Linked DNA regions of Drosophila melanogaster. The protein of the gene in region 4 interacts with the protein of the main gene of each other region in a pairwise test. Each region holds a gene or a part of one and is shown on either strand. Other genes may lie near its edges. The genes, in order: CG8851, narya, CG8086 and CG11248.

Evidence for each region.
Region 1: the proteins of CG11248 (region 4) and CG8851 interact in a two-hybrid assay, tested with the Drosophila melanogaster proteins (one large-scale study listed by BioGRID).
Region 2: the proteins of CG11248 (region 4) and narya interact in a two-hybrid assay, tested with the Drosophila melanogaster proteins (one large-scale study listed by BioGRID).
Region 3: the proteins of CG11248 (region 4) and CG8086 interact in a two-hybrid assay, tested with the Drosophila melanogaster proteins (one large-scale study listed by BioGRID).

Annotation. Positions count from the first base shown.
Region 1 is NT_033779.5:3,517,746-3,523,095, reverse strand, and holds CG8851 (uncharacterized protein), read right to left. Parts: upstream 3,420-5,350; 5' UTR 3,385-3,419; coding exon 3,148-3,384; intron 2,875-3,147; exon of another isoform or gene 2,718-2,874; coding exon 1,788-2,717; intron 1,729-1,787; coding exon 724-1,728; 3' UTR 541-723; downstream 1-540. Other genes in the region: Sr-CIV (scavenger receptor class C, type IV), read left to right, coding at 19-502; CG3213 (uncharacterized protein), read left to right, coding at 3,633-5,350.
Region 2 is NC_004354.4:19,473,313-19,476,588, reverse strand, and holds narya (narya), read right to left. Parts: upstream 1,527-3,276; 5' UTR 1,423-1,526; coding exon 787-1,422; 3' UTR 534-786; downstream 1-533. Other genes in the region: CG32533 (uncharacterized protein), read left to right, coding at 1-178, 247-479, 1,824-2,407. UniProt on the Drosophila melanogaster protein: Required for the formation of DNA double-strand breaks (DSBs) together with nenya and vilya during the meiotic recombination process. Plays a role in DSBs processing into crossovers.
Region 3 is NT_033779.5:8,249,950-8,254,924, forward strand, and holds the start of CG8086 (uncharacterized protein), read right to left. Parts: upstream 3,018-4,975; 5' UTR 2,903-3,017; coding exon 2,894-2,902; intron 2,827-2,893; coding exon 2,646-2,826; intron 2,585-2,645; coding exon 2,279-2,584; intron 1,377-2,278; coding exon 1,275-1,376; intron 1,019-1,274; coding exon 914-1,018; intron 733-913; coding exon 634-732; intron 552-633; coding exon 453-551; intron 382-452; coding exon 283-381; intron 180-282; coding exon 1-179.
Region 4 is NT_037436.4:21,678,257-21,683,780, reverse strand, and holds CG11248 (uncharacterized protein), read right to left. Parts: upstream 3,732-5,524; 5' UTR 3,629-3,731; exon of another isoform or gene 3,549-3,628; intron 3,482-3,548; 5' UTR 3,475-3,481; coding exon 1,348-3,474; intron 1,287-1,347; coding exon 1,158-1,286; intron 1,102-1,157; coding exon 865-1,101; 3' UTR 550-864; downstream 1-549. Other genes in the region: Sfp78E (seminal fluid protein 78E), read left to right, coding at 1-116, 179-453; Als2 (amyotrophic lateral sclerosis 2), read left to right, coding at 4,283-5,524.

The DNA.
Region 1 (5,350 bases), on a different chromosome or scaffold from region 4:
AGCAATATGATTTTTTAGTCCCTACAAGTTCGACCAATTCGTGATGACTGGATCACAAGGTGCCAGGTGGCTGGAGCACACGATCGATATCAATAAGATGGATGAGGACTTCCAAGTGATCTTTACCGCCACGGATGCGAGGTCCCAATACGGAGATATTGCCATCGACGACGTGAAGCTGATGGCAGCTAAGGAATGTGCCAGGAGGTCTACCTTCATCGAGGAACCAAAAAAACCAATAGAAGAATCGGATATCACGGATTCACTGGGCTACCAAATGACCGACTGCTCTGGTCGTTGTGGTCAGGACTTTGTTCGGGGAAGGTACATCAATGAAGGGTGTCGATGCCAAGAATCATGTCTGGTGAACGGCAATTGTTGCCTAAATTATGTCAAGGAGTGCCATAAAGATCTGGTCATAGCTCCGTATAATGAACTCAAATTCTGGAGGCTTTGGAATCTTTGGAGCGGTGATAGTAATGTGACTGTCGTACCTAAATAAGTTCCTATCCCAATACATTTAACCGAATCATTAAAAGTACTTTTAAAAATGAGTTTACATAATCATTAGAGTGAAATAATTGGTGGCTTAATAAGGGCTGATAATGTCCAGGCAACTTGATGGCATAGTCCAAGTGCTGGGAGCAGTACCTTCAAGTTGCCTGGACAGCTGATGAGCCCAATCTAGTGCCTAGGTCTAGGCAGTCCAGTCCAGATCCCCGTTTAGATCGTCGCCTTCAGAGTTCGGGGGGCTGCAAATCGACCGTTGCTGGTTCCCTGGGGCAGCTGATTGATCCTGATCAGACTGGGTCGATGGGAACCACCTGATGTCAAGTGGGCAATGCCAGCCGACCCACTGCCAACGATGCCCGTGCCACCCTGATTCGTCATGGAGTAGATGTGCCGCCGGAGAACCCTTATGTGTTTCTGCGAGACCTCGAAGTTGTGGACCAGGGTGTGGAGTTGCGTCTGGAGCTCAGCTATCAGACTATCCCGTTCCTGGATCAAACTGGACGTCGAGTTTTGGCTCCTACTCAGCTTCAGTTCGAGGTCGTAGATCTTCTTCTGCAGATCCCTGCGCTGCTTTTCGCTCTGCTCGCGATGGCGGGAAAGTTGCCTTTTGCTGCTCGCCTGGAGCTGCTCCAGCTGATCCTTCATGGTGGACAGCTCCTGGGTCAGTTTCCGCTTCTCCGTCTTCAAGGCCGAGTTGTAGTTCTTAAAGATCTTCAGATCCCTTTCGGCGGCCTTCAGCCGGTTGATGGTGACCAACTTTCGGCGGCCCAGTTCATCTATTTTGACCTTCAGCTGCATGGCTTCCTGTTGGAGGGCATGAAGTTTATCCGCCAGCAGACAATTTTCCCGCATTACCGTCTCGTACTTGGAGTGCTCGTCTCGCATCATCTTCGGCAAATGGGAGACACTTTTCAGTTTGTTGTCTATCTTGGATCGCAGACTGTCTATGTCATGGTAGATGCTCGACTCCAACTGCTTGTTATTCACGTGCAGCTTCTCGATCTCCTGCTTCTGGGTGCTCATGATGTCCTGGGCTTTCACACACCGCGTGTGGTAGTCCGATATTCTCTCCTGCTGCTGCCGAATGAGAGTTCGAAACTGGACCTGCTCGCTCTTCAGTCCCTTAATGGTGGTAAGGAGCTGGCTTATATCTCCAGAGTCCCTGTCCCTGTCTCTGTCCCTACCTCGATCCCGTTCATGCTTGTACTTCTGATCCTGATTAAGGAAGAAGGTTTAAGTTTTTATATTCCATTTAGCTAACAGCTAATTCATACCTGTGAGGTGTTGATCACATCCTTCAGCACATTGTACACATCCTTGAAGGATGCTGGCTCCCTTTCCCGATCGTCCTGCTCCAAGGATCTCTTCCTGCGCTTCACGTGACGGTTCGCCAGTGTTTCCACAATACGGCTGTCAAAAACGCTGTTCACCTGTGATGGCAGATCGTCCTTGTGCCGATGGTGATTCTGCTGATGAGTACTCCTTTCGGACGCGTATTTCTTTCTATCGATTTCGTCGCAGGAACTCTGGCCCGATAGAACGGTCATGAAACTGGTATTGCTGCGCAGGATTTGGGGGCTCTTTCGTCTGATGGTCGTCTGCGAGGTGACACTGCTGGCAGAGCTATAAAATCCATCCGGATCGGGCTCACTTCCCAGATCCATTTGCTGGGCCTGCTTCCTGCTGGACACGAACTGATCGTGCTTCTGCTGCATTTCGCACAGCTCGTAGTTAATTTTCATGTACTTCTCCTCCAGATCCTTGGTGCTTTCGTTGTAGTCCTTGAGCTCCTGCTTGTACTTGCAGAGTTCCTCCTTTAGCTTGCTGCCAAGGGCTTCCGAGTCTGGCAACCTCCTCTTCGAGCCCAAACCCTTTCTGTAATCTTCCGGCTCTTCATCACTCATGATTAGGCTGACCTCCTTACCTTCCCTGCTGTTCTTGGGTAATTTTGTTATACTGGGACTACAGTGGTCCCCGAAGTCCAAGCTACTGGCACTTCTCGTATCTAGTACTTTGGAGCTCGGCCTGGAGAGGCTGACATAGCTACTCTTTTCATTTTCATCTGCCTGATCTTCGTTCTTCTCATCCAGCTCGAAGTCCAGTCCCATTGAGGTGTTACTAGATGATGTTCCTTTGCGATTCTGTGGACGGAATCGAAGTGATCGTTGTCTGTTGGCTAATGGTCGCCTGGATGGCTTTAACATCTACGAAAATTTAGCCTATTTGGTTAATGTTGCACTTGTGTAATTTTTTGCACTGTTTTTGGCGAACAGAGAATTTTTTTAAAAACCTTATGTGACACATTCAATTCCCAAAAATATTAATTTTACGTAGGACGTGACGAAAATTATTTGATAGAAAATTGGGCGTTACGCCTACTCGAATGGCATTTGCCTTCTGGAAAATATCGCTGTTCGAGGATTGATTATATCCTTAAGGTTTATATAATAGTTTTAGATAATAAACCACATCTCCCAGTAGAGTGATAATTTATATATGTATATTCCTACTGATTGCCCTTTAAATTTCCCATTTCACCGTAAAACATTTTCATACTTTTATGTTAGTAAAGGATACAGGTAGATTCTCATAACATATTTTCGAATAGATTTAAAATTATTTATTAAGATATACCATTTCCTTCAAGTCGCACTGTGTTTTGATTTTGAACCAATTCAAGTAGCGGCAGTAGTAAATATAGTTGTTTGTTTCGCCGAATAGATGCCTCGATACACACTCCTCCCGAAGGACACATTCCTGACCATCCTGGGAGGGAGGACTCCGGTAATCCACCTCGACAAAGCAAGTCCTCGATCCCAATCCAGTTCTCCGGGATCTTTCGTTCGATTCTCCCAAGTCGAAGCAGGCCATTCCAAATCTGTTGCCAACTGCCCAGGGCGAATGTCCGTGGATTTTTCAGTTCATTTTATTCGATCACGAAGAAAACAACTTATTCTTCCCAAAACTTGTTTCGAAATTTTTTCAGAGTATGTGTTAAAATTTTCGCAGAATATACGTACCTTAAAATCGTTAGTAAATCTAGCCAAATATAAAAAAAAAAAAAAAAAAATTTTAACCATACAATTTTTGGCCGCATCGATAAGTGAATCTAAATCGCGATGGCAGAGAACACAGAGTACACCGATGAGGGCGGCGAGTACGAGGACGATGAGAACCAGTACCTTGGCGAACAGCACATGATGGAGGAGGGGCCCGACGAGGACCTCTTCTCCAAGCTGGGCGAGTCCTCCGACGATCCCGAGCAGAAGCGCATGTACATGGAGTACCTGGCGCTGATCAAGGAGATCGATTGCCAGAACAAGATCATCCAGGACATCAAGAGCAACATCATGGACATGTGCGCCAAGCCCTGCAAGACCCGCAACGAACTGCGCGAGATCAAGCGGTTGAGGATTTGCATGGAGCAGGAGAACATTAAGCTGCACACCATGATGAACAGAGCGGTGCAGCTGCAAAACTTCGGCTCCCATCGGCACTACAAGGAGCTGGCCATGACCACCACCGTCGACGAGGACAACCTGTCACCGTATATGTGTGGCATCGGTCCTTGTGCTCCAGCTGGCAGCGCCACGGATCCCTGTAGCGAAGAGCCTAGCTCGTGTGCCAGTGTTTGTGGTGGCGGCGGAGGCGGTGGAGGTCAACGGGACATGGCTGGTCAGGACGACAAGTTGATCTGCGCTCTGCAAAAGGCCATGCAGAAGATGAAGGGCGCTTGTCCTGAGGACAAGAAGATGATCGAAGAGATCGCCTGCGCTATAATGAGCTGCAAGAAGCAGCCGGTATGCGTTCCGGGTCCCTGTCCGCCACCACCCTGTCCGGGTCCTTGCCAAGGTCCTTGCCCGGAGAGCAGCAGCAGCAGCATTGCCCCATGTCCTCCTCCCTGTCCAGCCAAACGGAAGGCTCAGAAGGCTCCCTGCCCCCAGCCCCAGCCCCAGCCACCGGGCAAGTGCGAGTCCTTGGAGAAACTGAAGCGGCGCATCCAATGCATGCAGACCTCGGTGAAGAAGTTGCTCCAGGAGGTGAGCAATCGGGATGCGTCCGAACCCTGTGACGTCGACGACGATGACGATGAAGGAGAGGAGGACCCCTGCTCCAGGCCGTGTCCTCCCAGGCCGCCGTGTCCCGAGGATCCAGACCCACTGGTCATCTGCGGCGGAAAGCGGAACACCAAGGCCGACAAGTACGAGAAGATGAAGGAGAACTACACCAGGCTGCTAACCGAGTTTCAGCGCAAGGACTGCCAGATGAAGGAGATGCAGAAGCGAATGAAGGGTATCTGTGGTCCCTGTCCATCGAAAGGGGGCGACGGGGATGCCGATGCCGCCGAGCTGAATCTACTTCGAGCGCGGGTCAACGAGCTCAAGGAGGAGCAGCTGGAGTTCAAGTGCATCATGAAGGAGCAGTCGCAGCAGTTAGAGGACTACCGCAACAAGTACCTGCTGGCCCAGCAGAAGGTCGAGGAACAGTGCGTCTCCCTAGAGAAGCTGAACATGAACAACAAACGAATCGAACAGCAGATCAACACGGAGGTCAAAGAGATTCGAGCTAAGTTCCAAGAGAAACTGAACGAGTTACTGCACTTCCCCAAGCTCTTAGAGAACGAGCAGCTGAAGCTGGCCCAGGTTTGCAAGGAGAAGGATGAGATGCAGACGAAACTGGTGGTGGTCTGCAAGGAGCTCAAGGCCTGCAAGACGCAGATGGAGCAGCAACCCAACGTCGATGTGCGACCTCAGCTGGCCCAGTGCCAAATGGAACTGACTCAGGCCAGGAATGAACTGGAGGAGCTTCTCCGACAGAGGGATCTCTTCTGCGAACA
Region 2 (3,276 bases), on a different chromosome or scaffold from region 4:
GTGGTGGTCAGCAGTTCTTCCACACGCGGCTCAAGCCCTTCGTGCTGCAGCACCCAAACTCGCAATTCGCCAAGCACTTCGAGCTGCTTAAGCTGACCGAAAGCGATCTGCTGCCCAAGCCAGACTTCTACACGCCCAAGCTTCCGCTCAGCAAGCGCCACCAGTTGCTCTGTTACCAGTGAGTGCGTGCGTCTGTACGAAATTGCAGCGCCATACTAATCCCCAAAAAACTACGTACTACAACAGGTCGCTGCTGGAGACCGCCAAGCCCTATCTGATTAACTGCATCCGCCTGCCGGCTGCCCAGACGCTATTGCTCTTCAGCTTCGCCATTGACACGAACGCGGGCATCACACAGATCGCCTGCGACGGCTGGCTGGGACTGGATCTGCCCATGCCCGGCAGCGGTATGGAGCTTTTAAGACGGGCCATCGAGTTGCGCCGACGTTGGAGCAGACTGCTTTACGACAAGCTGGATGGTGAGTGCTCCCCAGATTGGTTGGAATTATTAAAACTACTAGGGGGATTTTTGAGTTTTGTAAGCTAAAGTAGATTGTTATATTTCCGTTTATGGTTATCATATCCCGCACATGAGTAGTGGAACGTCTCGATTTGAATAGTAATAGTAATAGAATACGGATGATAATTAGTACCTTAAGCGCAACTTAATAATCTATCTGGTTCTTTATATTGGGAATCTTCTGGAAGGTCAAAACCTAATTGAATCGTTAGAAGTGGTTATAGTCTTAGAATTCCTATAAAAAATTATACAAGTAATTGGAGTGACTAAAGACGAAAGCCTTTAGTGTCGCTGCCAAAAGATCTTCTCCGCGTTGACTGGGTATCCAAGTCCGCGGACCGGCGGGAGCTATCAGAAGGCATATCCGACGGCGATTTGTCCGAAGTGCTGATAGAGGTGTTCCAGGCCTCCTTGAACTCCGGCGTATGGAATCTCTCACCTGCACTGTGCCGGCGCCTCGTCATCCTCTGCGCATTCTCGTGGTAAGCGATGTAGGTGCGCAATTCAGCGATTCGCTTCTTTTCCTCCACGACCTTCTGGTTCAGCTGCGCCTCCATCTTGCAAAAGCCCTCCAGCTGGCGCTTGTTTTGCTCCAGCTGCTGCAACTGACGGTAGAAACCCAGGTTGTCCGATGCTCGCTGGTCCGCTTGGAACTTGGAGATCTTGCGGTAGATCTGCTGGAATCGCAGGGGATCCGCGAAGTAGTTGGCCACGCTAGTTGGCATATCCCGGTTGATCTGGATCGCTTTGAGCACCTGGCCGCATAGCGGGCAGTTCTTTTCTAGCGAGGATTGGCCCAAACAGGGGCCGCAGATCACGTGCCGGCACTGGGTCAAGTGGAAGGGCACGGCTGGATCAGTTTTGCGATGACGGAAACACTTGTTGCAATGCACTCGAAACATAGTGACCAATATATGTTTTTTTCCTCGCCTTGCAAGTTTTCTTCTTAAACAATTGTGATTTAGATATCCGAATGGGGCTAACGGATCTTACCTCAGCGGTCTGGCCACTCTGCCGGGTGAGAACACTCTCGCCTTGCAATCTGTTCACCACACCTTTCCTGCAAGTGGTGTATTCAGGTTCAAAGATTTTTCACCATAATATTTTAAAGCAGTTATTATTGTAACAATCAAATGATGGGAACGACATATGCTTAAAAACGTTTTTTTTTTTAGGTATTTACATATACAATTGTCGATATTTGAACTGTTCAGTTATAGAAAATGCTTGTTGTTCTTGGCATTCTTAGTAAATGGAGCTTAGTTATCTAATACGTATGTACTTAATGCTGTCCAATTTGCAGACCTCAAAAGCAAACAGGAATCACCTTCCCATTCAAGTGACGATAGGAGCAGCGCGCTGTGGCAAGATCTTGTGGACTATATGGCGCTGGATGTGGCGTATGCGATACGCCGACTGCTTCCCGCCGACATCAAGAGGCTCTACACTCATCAGGCACCTTCCGCGCGACTCGCGGAGCTCAAGGAGAACCCCTTTGCCGTCGACTTTCCCATGACACCGAACGAGGAAAAGGGCGGCCTCAACGTATCGGAGCACGTGGTGTACAGCTGCTTGGCCGAACAGCAGTGGACGACGGCCATGGATGCGACTCTACGGGCAGAGCCATGGCAGTGTACGCGCTGCGATTTCGAGCTGGAGGAGTTCGATGTGCTGGAGCAGCTGGTGCACCGATCCAAATGCAAGCGTCGCAAGGCGCAGGAAAGCCGCACGGCGAAAACAACGAGCACAGAGTCCTCAACGGAGGTAGCCAGTAGCTCCAGTTCGCACTCCTCCGGCGGCTATTACTGCAACTCCTGCAAGAGGGAGTTGCGACTGACAACGATCGACATTCTGCGCCACAAAAAGCAGTGTCGAAATAACAAGTAATCGTCTGAATAAACGTATTTAATTATAAAAAAAAAAACATATTTAATTTAACATATTGAAAAATTGCTAAACAAATTAACTTTTGGCCTGTCCCCTTTGGAAATCAACAAAAATGTTATGAAAAACATTTGCTTTCTTTAATTGAGGGACCCTTCAGCCATGTTACAATGAAAAAAAAAAAACGCACTGAAAAATGTTGGGCGGAAATCTGTATTCGGATTTCCCACCAAAAATATTTCGTTTTTGGGCCAAAACAATGGAATTTTTAATTAAAATCAATTATGCCCCGTTCAATTGGCATTGAAGCCGCCGGGAAATTTCCATTTTAATCAAATTGTTGAAAGAATGAATTTATAGAATAAATTATCGGATACGAAATATGGGATTTGATAACTACGTATGCCTGTTAGTTAGCCAGCTACACAATAGGTCGTCGTTGCTCAAGCTGCGCTGCTTATTTTAACTGAATATTGCAATATGTAAAATTGTCAAGTGTCCAGCTTTCAATTTGCCACTGACAACAGAGCTGGGTGAATTCCTCACAAGGATTTAGTTTTTATCTCGCACAATTTTGTAGCTTACAAAATAGTTTTTAGCTTAGGATGATGACAAAAAGGGATTTAGAGATTTGTATTGGATCTGCACCTTAATGCGGCGCTCCTTTCGACCGTGCTGTGTTGTCCTAATCTCGGGACACAGAAGCTACGCTTGTTTATGAAAAGGTCTTTGCCTGTCAAGCTGTCCAATTTTCAGATATAGTTGTGCGCTTCCTCGGCAGGGCAGCAGCTCCTTCTGCCTCGCCCGACTGTCTACTTCTTTGCAACTACATTGTTGCTACTGTCGAGTTTTGTGCTCAGCTTGCTTGTCCG
Region 3 (4,975 bases), on a different chromosome or scaffold from region 4:
CCTCGTCTCTGGGCGTCCGGACAGGGTGAATGCGGGCGTGTGGTCCAGCCGCACCTTCTCCGGATTGTAGGTGCCCGGCGCTGGCGTGTCACTCGACTTGGCCAGCTCGGCACGGTGGCCAAAGCTGAAGGCAGGCGTCCTGCTCAGGACGCACTTCTCGGGTTCGTATGCTCCGGGTGCTGCAAGAGATTGGGTGAAGATAAGGTGTAAAAAGAGTTGGGTTTTGGTGTGCGGGTCGCACGCTAAGACTAAGATCCATTGAAATGCGATTCTAGAACTCACCAGGTGTGCAATCGACCACGTCCTGCGAAGCCTTTCCGGCGATTGAGTAAGCGGGTGCGGAGTGCAACCTTGACTTTTCGGGGCTGTAGGCACCGGGTGCTGGTCATAAGGACATAAAAGTGTGCGCTATAAGCCAAGTTACTACAGCCCAGCTGAGCGGGAAGCCTTACCTGGAGTATCGCTGACCTGGATGTGTTTGGTCTTCAAGCCAAAGCTGTAGGCGGGAATGTGTTCGAGGACAACCTGCTCGGGCTTGTAGGTGCCTGGCGCTAATGAAAGTGTCGTCGTGGTGAAAGCATCAAGCAGCTATATTAACGTGGCTCAAACCTACAAGGCATACTGTTTACAAACCTGGAGTGTAATCTGGTCGCTGTTCATGGTGCTTGATGCCGAAACTGAACTCTGGCGTCTTGTTGAGCTTCACCTTCTCTGGACAATATGCGCCAGGAGCTGCGGATGGGATGGGATATCAGTATTAAGTTGGCCAAAAGTCACGGGAATAGAAAAGGAAAGCGCTATAGATACTGTCCAATTGGGTACGCTTGAGCAAGTGGTGCCTCGATTGGGGTAGATACGGATACAATTACAGATGCAGATACAGTTACTTGGGGGGGAGGCTGGGATTTATTACCTGGTGTGCCCTGATCGTGTTCGATTTTAGTTCGTCTACCGAAAGTGTAGCGTGGCGCATTCTTTTTTGATTGCGTGACCTTTTCAGGGCAATAGCTATTCGGAGCTGTTAGTGTTAATAAAACATTCGATTTTTAGTCTACTCGAATCAAAACTAAAGGTCTACACTAGGTGAGCTACGACTAAGTGTGGGTGAATTACAAATAGATAGATATGTATATACGGATAGAAAGATACATTATTTCGGGAATTAGTGATGAGTTGGGGATTAATTGATCGGGTTAGAAGTTAGAGAGCGGAGCTAGACCAACACCAACACTAAAACGCAACGTGGACGAAGTTTGGACAGTTAGTTGGGTTACCTGGATTGTTAACCAAATACACGTTAACCTTAATGCGAAAGGAGTAGCGTGGGGCTCGCCGCTTGACGACATCAAGTGGCACCACTTGATAATAGTTGGGACCTGAGTCTCGATTTTGCCACGGCAATCATTCATTGAAAGAGAAAAACGTTTCAAATTAAAATCAAATCAGGCAACATAACAAAAAAAAAGAGGTCACACAAATTACTGAACCACTAAAGTAACACATATACAAAGAACACTGTGTAGCTAGGAAATAATAAATGAGAATTAGAGAATATGTATAATCTTAAATAGAAATATTTATGAGAAATTAAGACATCTGATCTCCGTTTCCGTTTGACTCATAAATAAAAATAACTGAGCCAAGTTGTAGACAATCTTTCACAAAATAGATGACCGTATAAAGACATTGCCAATTCCTCCTACGTAAATTTGTAGCTTTTTTTTAGGGAAACAAAGAAAGTTTAGAGAACGAGATATGAACAAATCGAATAAATAATAATAATGCCCAACATTATAATTAAATACTTTTTAATTAATGTACCAAAAATAATAGAATAGAATAAGCCAAATCATTCACGCACATTACGAGGTGACATAACTACGATTCAATCTCAAGGATACCCAAAGATACAGCAGAATAATCTACGAAATGTGGCTACGACTACACTAGCTACTGAGATAGAGATAGAAAGTGGGAGAAAGTGGAAGAAAGGGGCGGTAGCAACTTACGCGCTGCTTGCAGTAAGGATGCAACTGGCATGGATTCGGATTAGTTAATGAGTACGCTTCTATGTACAATGATGATCCATGATTGAAATTGATTGATGATCTCCTCAGTCCGCGCATGCAACCAAAAAAAAAAAAAAAAACAGCACCAGCCCGCAACAAACACCGAATTCAACGCCAAATTCAAAGTCAATTTTCAGATCCAACTCCAAAATCCAACATCAGGTCCAAAAACACCATTCAAACACCAGTGGAAGAAGACCGAGACTCACCTGGTATCTGGAAGGTTTTCAACGCGACCGGCCGTTGGCCAAAAGTGTATTTGGGCGTGGCATCGATCACCGCCTTGGCCGCCGGCACCACATCGTATTCCCCAGGTCCGGGATTCGAGAAGCGTGTTAGTTCCTTGGGTCTGCTCTGCAGAGTGGCTGCTCGAGGATAATCCCGACCCTTGGCTCGCATACCCGTAACATTGTACTGCGCCGGACCCGGTCCGGAGGTGTCATACTTTCCGCCCAACTTGTGGCCAAAGGAGTACGAGGGTGCGGCCTTCTTCTTGGAGTCGGGAACTTTGCTGCCTAAATGTGGGATTTTCAATAAGTTATATTTGCAGGAACATTAAACCAATCTTAAGCTTACCTATCAAGGTTGGAAGTTGGACAGTGGCTGGACCCGGATTGGTGGTCTCGGCGGCGATCTTGCCGATCCTAACAGTTGGAGTCCAAGGACGCTGCTCCACGTTGCCGCCCATGTTAATTGGACGAATCTTACGCACGCGGGCGCAGGGTCCCTGATCCTTGTTCTTGTTTTTGAACTCGACCTAAAAAGGGGAAAACAAACAACAATATTAAGAAATCCATTAGTTATTTAGATCTTCAAGAAACCACCTTGTTCATCTTGCTGTTTTTAGGCTTAGTAGTATCGAAGTCTGAAAATTGTGCCCCAATGTAAAAAAAAAAAGTTAAAGACCAAATTTACTGAACTCCCTTCGCTGACATTTACACGTGTGAGTGGGTGATAGGCTGACTACTGAAATCTATACTTCGACCCCCAAACTTGGGTAACCTAATAATCCAAATTTCGTCCTACTCCAACAGCCAAGTCGATGACACAAAAATCAATCGTCTGGCATTTGTTTCGAACTTTCTGGGCCAATTCCGATGGGGCGGCTAATAACCAGGCGTGTAGCTCCACATATTCATACCATCCATGGGCGAATGGATTCAGTGGATGGGGGCGTGTCGTGTGGCGGCTGTCACTCTTTTTCTTCTCCTTCTTCTGCAGTGGCTGTTGCTCGGCATTTGTTGCAGGTTCCTTCTGTTCGAGCCGCGAATTTGTTGCGCCGCACGAAATACAAACAATGGCAATAACTTTGCGGTAGGCTCGTAATTCTTGGGCGTCAGTGGCAGGCACAAAAGTTGCAGGGGTTTGCAGTGCAACCAAAATAAAGTTAAGAAACTTAAATTACAGTCTTATTATGTCTTTGCCTTTCAGTTGTATTTGATTTTGAATAGAGAGCAATAATTTATATATGTAATCGAAGTTTGTAAAGGTGCCTAAATATATCTAGCATATATTGAGCTTCACCCTTTAAATTGAATTTCCCTATAAAAAGGGAACAATAAAATACGAAGAGAAAACCAAATGAATTTTAATGCAGTTACCACGGTAGACAATTTTATTATACATATGATTACCACTAAGTCGTAACAAAAGAAGTGCACAATAAAAGTGTTTCCAGCTAGTTAGGAGCTAGACAAAATGAATATTTTAATGAGAGGCCCCCCTCAACAACATTCGTATTCCCCAAAACCTGCTGCTGCCCTGGGTGACGACCTTCTTTTCACAGCTCAGCACACGGGACACCAAGTGTTGCCCATCGACAGGCGGGCAGACATCGGAAAACAGACCGGTACCAGCTGGTATCAGGAGTTCCAACCACGCTCCACCTTACCAACTTTCCACCTTTCCACCTTTTTAGCGCCAGGAACCAGGCATTTGGGCATGTAATCGATATGGGGCTGGATTTGGATACGGATACGAATTCGACGGGCGCCGAGATTTGGGGTCTGGTCAACAAGGTTGTGTCCCGAATCGAAGCGAAACGAAACGAAACGAAGGGGAGTATGCTAAGTGCTAATGCTGCCCATTTTGTGGGGCATGTAAGCCAACAAAACGATTACTTTTAATGACTTATGGCCGACAATTGCATGAACCAAAACAAAAACAAACCCAGGACCCAAAAGAAATGCGAAGCGTGCCACTTCTTTTGGCCGTGAAAATTCGCCAGCCTGTGTAAATAATTACAAACAATGTTAGGGGGCGTGGCCTGGCTGTTAACAGGGCCAATAAAGCCGTCGTTCTGCTGCCAAGAAAGGCTTCACTTTTCCCGCCAGCCGCACTTGTTACTTGCTACATATGACTCCTGACCTCGCATGCAATTCACATATACATATGTATGTATTTATGTACAAAAAACAATGTTCTCTTCGCAAGGCAGGCAGTCATCAGGCGGTCTTATAAGGCGACTCTTACATCACCATCATGAGGTTGGAAAGCCCACACACCGTACCGCCTGTTCAATTGCTGTTCGAGGCCAAGATCAGCGAAGAAAACTGAAAATCTAACGATGAATCAGAGCCGGCAGCTGAGCCAACAAACTCAGACATCTGTCAGACAAAGAGTCTTGGCCACCCACCCACATTGCTCGCATTGAAGGAAATCTGTCTTAATATGCACATATGGCATCGAAAAGAGATCAATTAAAAATCTAAAAATATATTAAGCTTAATTGTGAAAGAAAATTGTGATTGAATAATAGTCATCTTATACATAAAAGCATAACTGTCAAGATTTTGGAAGCATATAGTAGAACAGAAAATTTCAAAACATAAGATATTGCATTTGATTGTCACGCTTTTTTCTATAAACCATTAAAAAAGGGGTTCAAAATACAAAATCATGTATGC
Region 4 (5,524 bases):
CGTGGTAAGGGTAAATCCGTATATGGAGTATTATGGATCGTACATTTATTTTAAGGCAGACGGAGATCGGCACCTAAATGAGGACTTAAATCGAGCGACGGTAAAGAAGACTAAGTGTATGGATTACATGGATACGAGTAGTATTGGAACATCTATGTTAATAATTATTTCCCCCCAGATGGTTGGCAATGTGCCGGGGTGACGTGCCCCATAAAGTTTACGGCATCTTGTAAGGTAACAAAGGTCCTAAAGCCCTCTGATCTACAGCACACTGAGCTCCTGATTTTGTGCATGGATAAAAACGATAAGCCTATGTGTGGGATAACACGAACTCGAAAAGGGGTAATACAGGAAGTTCTGGACGTGGATGAAAACGGAAATACGATATATGACAAAAAGGAAGTTATTTCGGAGAACGATGGTACTAAAATCCCTAGGTGCCCACGAAAGTAAATGATGTGCACTGATCGACTTCACACAAATATGTTTTATCTACACAAGGTTTTTAACTTTAAATGTTATGGACTATAAAAATAATTACACATTTTTGTGGCAACCAACAATGGTTTATATATCTTGTAGAAAAAATATTGGTATAGTTTGGCAATTAGTATGTATATAGAATTGGTGAAACTAACAGAATGCGTTACACATAAATAAAGATAACGAACACAAAAGACAACAAAATAAATATTTATATAAATTGAACTAAGTTGGATCTGATTGAAAATTAGGCCTATGAGACTAGGCACAAAAACTCAATTCACTAATTGCCCCTTTTAGGAAAACAAAATTTGAGACTAAACAAATAGGTACTAAATAGGAAATTTATAAGTATTTGACTGAAAACTAAATTATGCTCGTCTAAGAGTGCTCGGCCACCGCTCGAAGTTCATCCATGAGGGAGGGCATGGGCTCCACTCTCCTCCGTTCCCGACCAGCAATAATAATCCTGCTTAGCTCCTTCATATCAGACTGGCAGGCGGAAATACCCTCGCCTAATTGGCACAAATTCGGTTGGCATCGCTGACTCCGCTCAATCAGATCGAATATGAAGCTGTTGCGAGGGCGACATGTTTCATTGGCGGTTTGCTGAACGAGCTGTAAATCAATTAAGGAAATGTCAAGAGAAGCCAATCGGAGGGGAACATACTTACCTTCTTGTAGTCATCAATAAGATTAGCCACTTCATGGGCGGGTTCCTGGGGCGTGTTGCTAGCCGTCGATTTGCCCGAGTCCGAGGCCTCAAACCGCGCTCGCTCCATTACCAAAGTGTGCTCCAGACACTGTAAAAAGCAATTAATTGTGTTACAAAGAGTTACTTTAAGGGAGTAAGACATAACATACCTTAATTTTTGACAAAGCTTGCTGATGCCTTCCGCTGATCTCCGCCAGCTTCATTTTAAGCCCAGGAAGCTCTTCAGCCTTTCGATTGTTAACCCTCCCATTTCGCAGTTCCTTTCGAAGAATTTTGGCCAACTGAGGCCAGCTTTTTATATGTGGTAGCCTCCTTCCTGTTTCCATCTCAAGAACGTGACCAAGAGATCGCAAACACTCTACTGCTTTGCGTTCTTCTCGCGCAATTTCCTCCTTCTCATCTAGCAAAGACTTTACCTGGCCTTGCAGCCTTTGCATGTTAATCGACGCAGCGGAGTTTATCTTCAGATTCTCTTGGAATGTTTTCTTCAAAAGCTGTAACTCTAGTCGATTTTCCTCGTCCTGCGCTTGGCTCAATTTCTGGAGCTTTTGCAGTTCATCATTTTGTCCAGCGAACAATTCATTCAGGTGCTCCAATTCAACCGTCTTATGCTGTAGTTCTGATCGCATTTCCTGCTCCAAGCTTTGAGTAGCTTGCAGAGCATCTAACAGTTGTTGCCAGTCTGCTTCCATTTCGTTAGTGCTCTTGATTTTAGCTTCTTGCTGTTGAAGCAGTATTTGGAGCAGCGAAACTGTGTGCAATTTTTGGCTCCTGACATCCGCTAGTTGTTGTTCCAAAGTCTCAATGCGTTGAACTAAAATCGGATCTTCGAGGTCCGTTTGGGTCGCTTGGTTGTGTTTCAACTGCACTTGCCAGCCCTCTGTCTTTTTGATTTGGACATCGATACGGGACTCTGCTTCGGCCAACGCTTTTCTCAGCTCATCACACTGCGCTGCATAATCTTTGAGTTTCTCCATTAGCTCACTTTCCTTTAAGGAACCGTTTTGCTTCATTTTGGCAATCTCGATTTTCTCCAGTTCCAATTGCTGTTTAGTCTTTTGACACAAGGAGCACATTTCGGCATACTGTTTTTGAAGAATGTCCACCTTCTGCTGTAGATTTTTCAAGGTCTTTTGCGCCTCACCTAAATTTTCTTTTAAGCCTTCCTTATCTAGTTGTAACGAAGCCAAAGAAATTGTTAAATTTTCCACCTGCTCCAGTTTTAGAGCATTGCTTTGCCGAAGTTGAGTCTCCTCCAAAAGTTGTGCCTGCAATGCGAACTCCAGTTGCTCAAGCTGACGCTGCTGTTCCTCGCATTGCTCTTTCATGTGAGACATCAGCATCAGCTCGGCCTGAAGCTCGTTAAGAGAATTCTTAAGGCTGGCAATTTCACTCGTTTTTCTGTTGATCTCTTCGTGAAATTTCATGCTATAAGAGTGCATAATTTCCATGCTACTCTCCCGTTTCAGCTTTTGTTGGTAGTACTGTTTCAAATCCAGGAACTCCTGTTCCTTTAGCGCTAACAGATGCTCCTGCGTTTGCAGCGTCTCGTTAAGCTCAGCAATGACTTGGCGCAGCTGATCACGCTCCGCGGTGACACTGCGTAGGGTAGTGCTTCTTAGCTCTAGCTGGTGCTCCATTTGACTTTTAAGGTCAAGTAGTTGCTTGCATTTTCCAGTCACGTGCTTGCTCTCCAGCTCCATGCCGACAACAGTTTGCTGCAACTGCGAAAGTTTTTCATCGTGTTCCAGACTGATCCTCTGGATGTCGTCCAGAAGCATCTTCTTTTGCCTTCGGAGCACGTCGATCAACTGACGCTGATCCCGTAGGCGCGCCTCCTGCTGTTTGGCCTCAAAAGAGGAGTCGTGTGACTCCGAGTCTGCTTTAAACGGCGATGAGCCAGGGGAAAATGGTGAGCCCTGCTCCTGCTGCTTCTCCAGAGTGGCGCATTGTGTGTGCAGGCGGATCGATTCTTGCTGCAGCTTCTGGTTCTCCATCAAATACTTCCGTTCCTGTGCGTACAATCGTTCTAGCGTCTGTAGCCTGCTGTGCTTCTGGGACTTAAGCTCCTGCTTGTACCACTGCTCCGATTTTAAGAGCCTTTGCACCTCACTGCGCGTCCGAAGCAGCTCTTGCCGCACCAGAAAAATCGATTGGTCCGGTTCAGGCTGCGGCGCCGGTTTCTGAGCAGGATCTCCTACTCCATCATCGCTAGTGCAGCTAAAGTGCCCTGAGTCGTCAGCCAAAGCTGTAGCGCCCTCGCAGTCCAAATCCATAACCGAGCTGAAAAAATTTTATTTTAGGAGGGTGAGTTTGTGGCTTAAAACAACTTTTGTGGGCGTATGCAAACCAGCAGTACCACACGGAGGTGTCCACTGAGTCGTACTAGTTGATGTTTCTGAACAATTGTTGACGGTTGTTTTTTTTTACCGTGGGTAACTTTTCCTAATTAACGATAAAACTACATTTTAAGCGAAATAAACAAAACATGCAAAAACTTTTGAGTCGAACAGCTGATGGCAAAAACAATATGACCATATTAAAACAAATTGATGTATCGCAAAAAAATACCAAAATAACTTTTTTGTGTTGACTGGTTCCATGATTATGGCGAATGCAACTAAGGAGTTATTTAAATTTATATAAGAGTTCTAGCTAACTACAATATTGAGTTTACGTATAAGGTATTATGTGTGTTTTCAAAATTGGTTATAAAACAACAATTTGCATGGACCAAATAAATAGTGATAAGCCCAATTTTAGAACGTCACTTTTACCCGAACACCCTTACTTAATAAATTCTCATTGGGACTCGATAGCGCTGGTCACACTAATCCAAAAAACCATCACAAAAACATGAATTCTTATTAGCCAGTTAAGAACAAGTGAAAACAGAATTTATTTTATCGTGGCAGCTAGAGTTGCATTCCGAATCAAGTTATATGATGTTCGTTGGTGCCAGTAGTGCCTAGCGTGGACCGGAGCACGTGCACGATGTGAGAACGACCTGCAGACAAATCGAGCAATTGCGTCGTGTTACAAAGCTTTGGCCCTGTCCAAAACCCCAACAAAAATTTGCACATCATGGCCAGTGCAGCGGATGACTCGGCACTTGGGGGTCAGGAGGAGCGGGAGTCCTTCACCATCTATCATGAAGGCAGGGAGCTACAGCTTCACTGGCGCGGATTGCCGCCCCTGCAGCGGTTTCCCGCATCCCGGATTTGCAGCAATGCCGGCGGGGAACTGCTCCTTCTGACCACTGACCACGCCCTCTACTCCGCCAAGCTGCAGGCCAACCGCGAACACATGGATCTTCAACTCCTGCGTACCGATGTTGTGGATATGGACTTCTGCTCCGGCAGTCAGGAACTATTCGTAGTCCTCACCAATGGCTCTGTGCAGCGCCAAGCCACGGGATCTGGCCGGGATGTGGGTCATCCACATGCGTGGCAAACCCTCGGTTTCGACCCTCTCGAATTGCATGCTGAGGGCGTACGCATCCGACGGGTTTGCTGCTCCGCCCAGGGCGTTGTCTTCGTCGGCGCTAGTGGGGAGACCTATGTCATGGGCAGCTGCGGCGAAGTCTTCAAGGCAGAACAACAGCCTCGGCACATGCGCCTTTACGAAGAGGGCAAGGAACTGTTGGACTTAGCAGCCGGAAACGAGCACTTTGTGATGTTAGTAGCTCCCTACAACCTGGCCGACGATGCACTCCAGCTGTCGGTGGCCAGTGCGAAGGAAGAACCCGAGGATGAACGGGCCTCTGTAAAATCCATAAGCAGTGGCCACTCGGAGCGCAGCGTTGCGGCTAACACAAGGCACCTTCTTCACCAAGGATACGCTCTGCTCCACACCCAACTTTTCACATTCGGAGCCTCCAATAATGGTCTCCTGGGCAGTGGGGATCATATCCGGAGGGCCAATGTGATGCGCTTGCAGAAACTAGACAGCATGGGCGTGTGCAGCATTGCAGCTGGATTAGAGCACACGGTGGCCCGCACTCTGGACGGAAGGCTCTACCACTGGGGCCTGAACAACCACTCTCAGTTGGGTGAAGATGTCAGCTCGCCCATGGAGATCACAATTACGGAAAACACGGCAGCACTACCCATAGAACAAAACTCGGCGCTTGAGGCGACTTGCGGCGACTACCATACACTACTGCTCAATGCCTCGGGTCAAATACATTCCCTTCAACCTGCGCCTCCAATGCGACATCTGCAGCAGTCCAGCACATACGCGCAGACGCTTCTCCAGCTTCAGTTGGGAGCAGCGTGGCCCAGACAACTACGTTTGCTTATGTGTTCTGGCGGATACACACTTCAA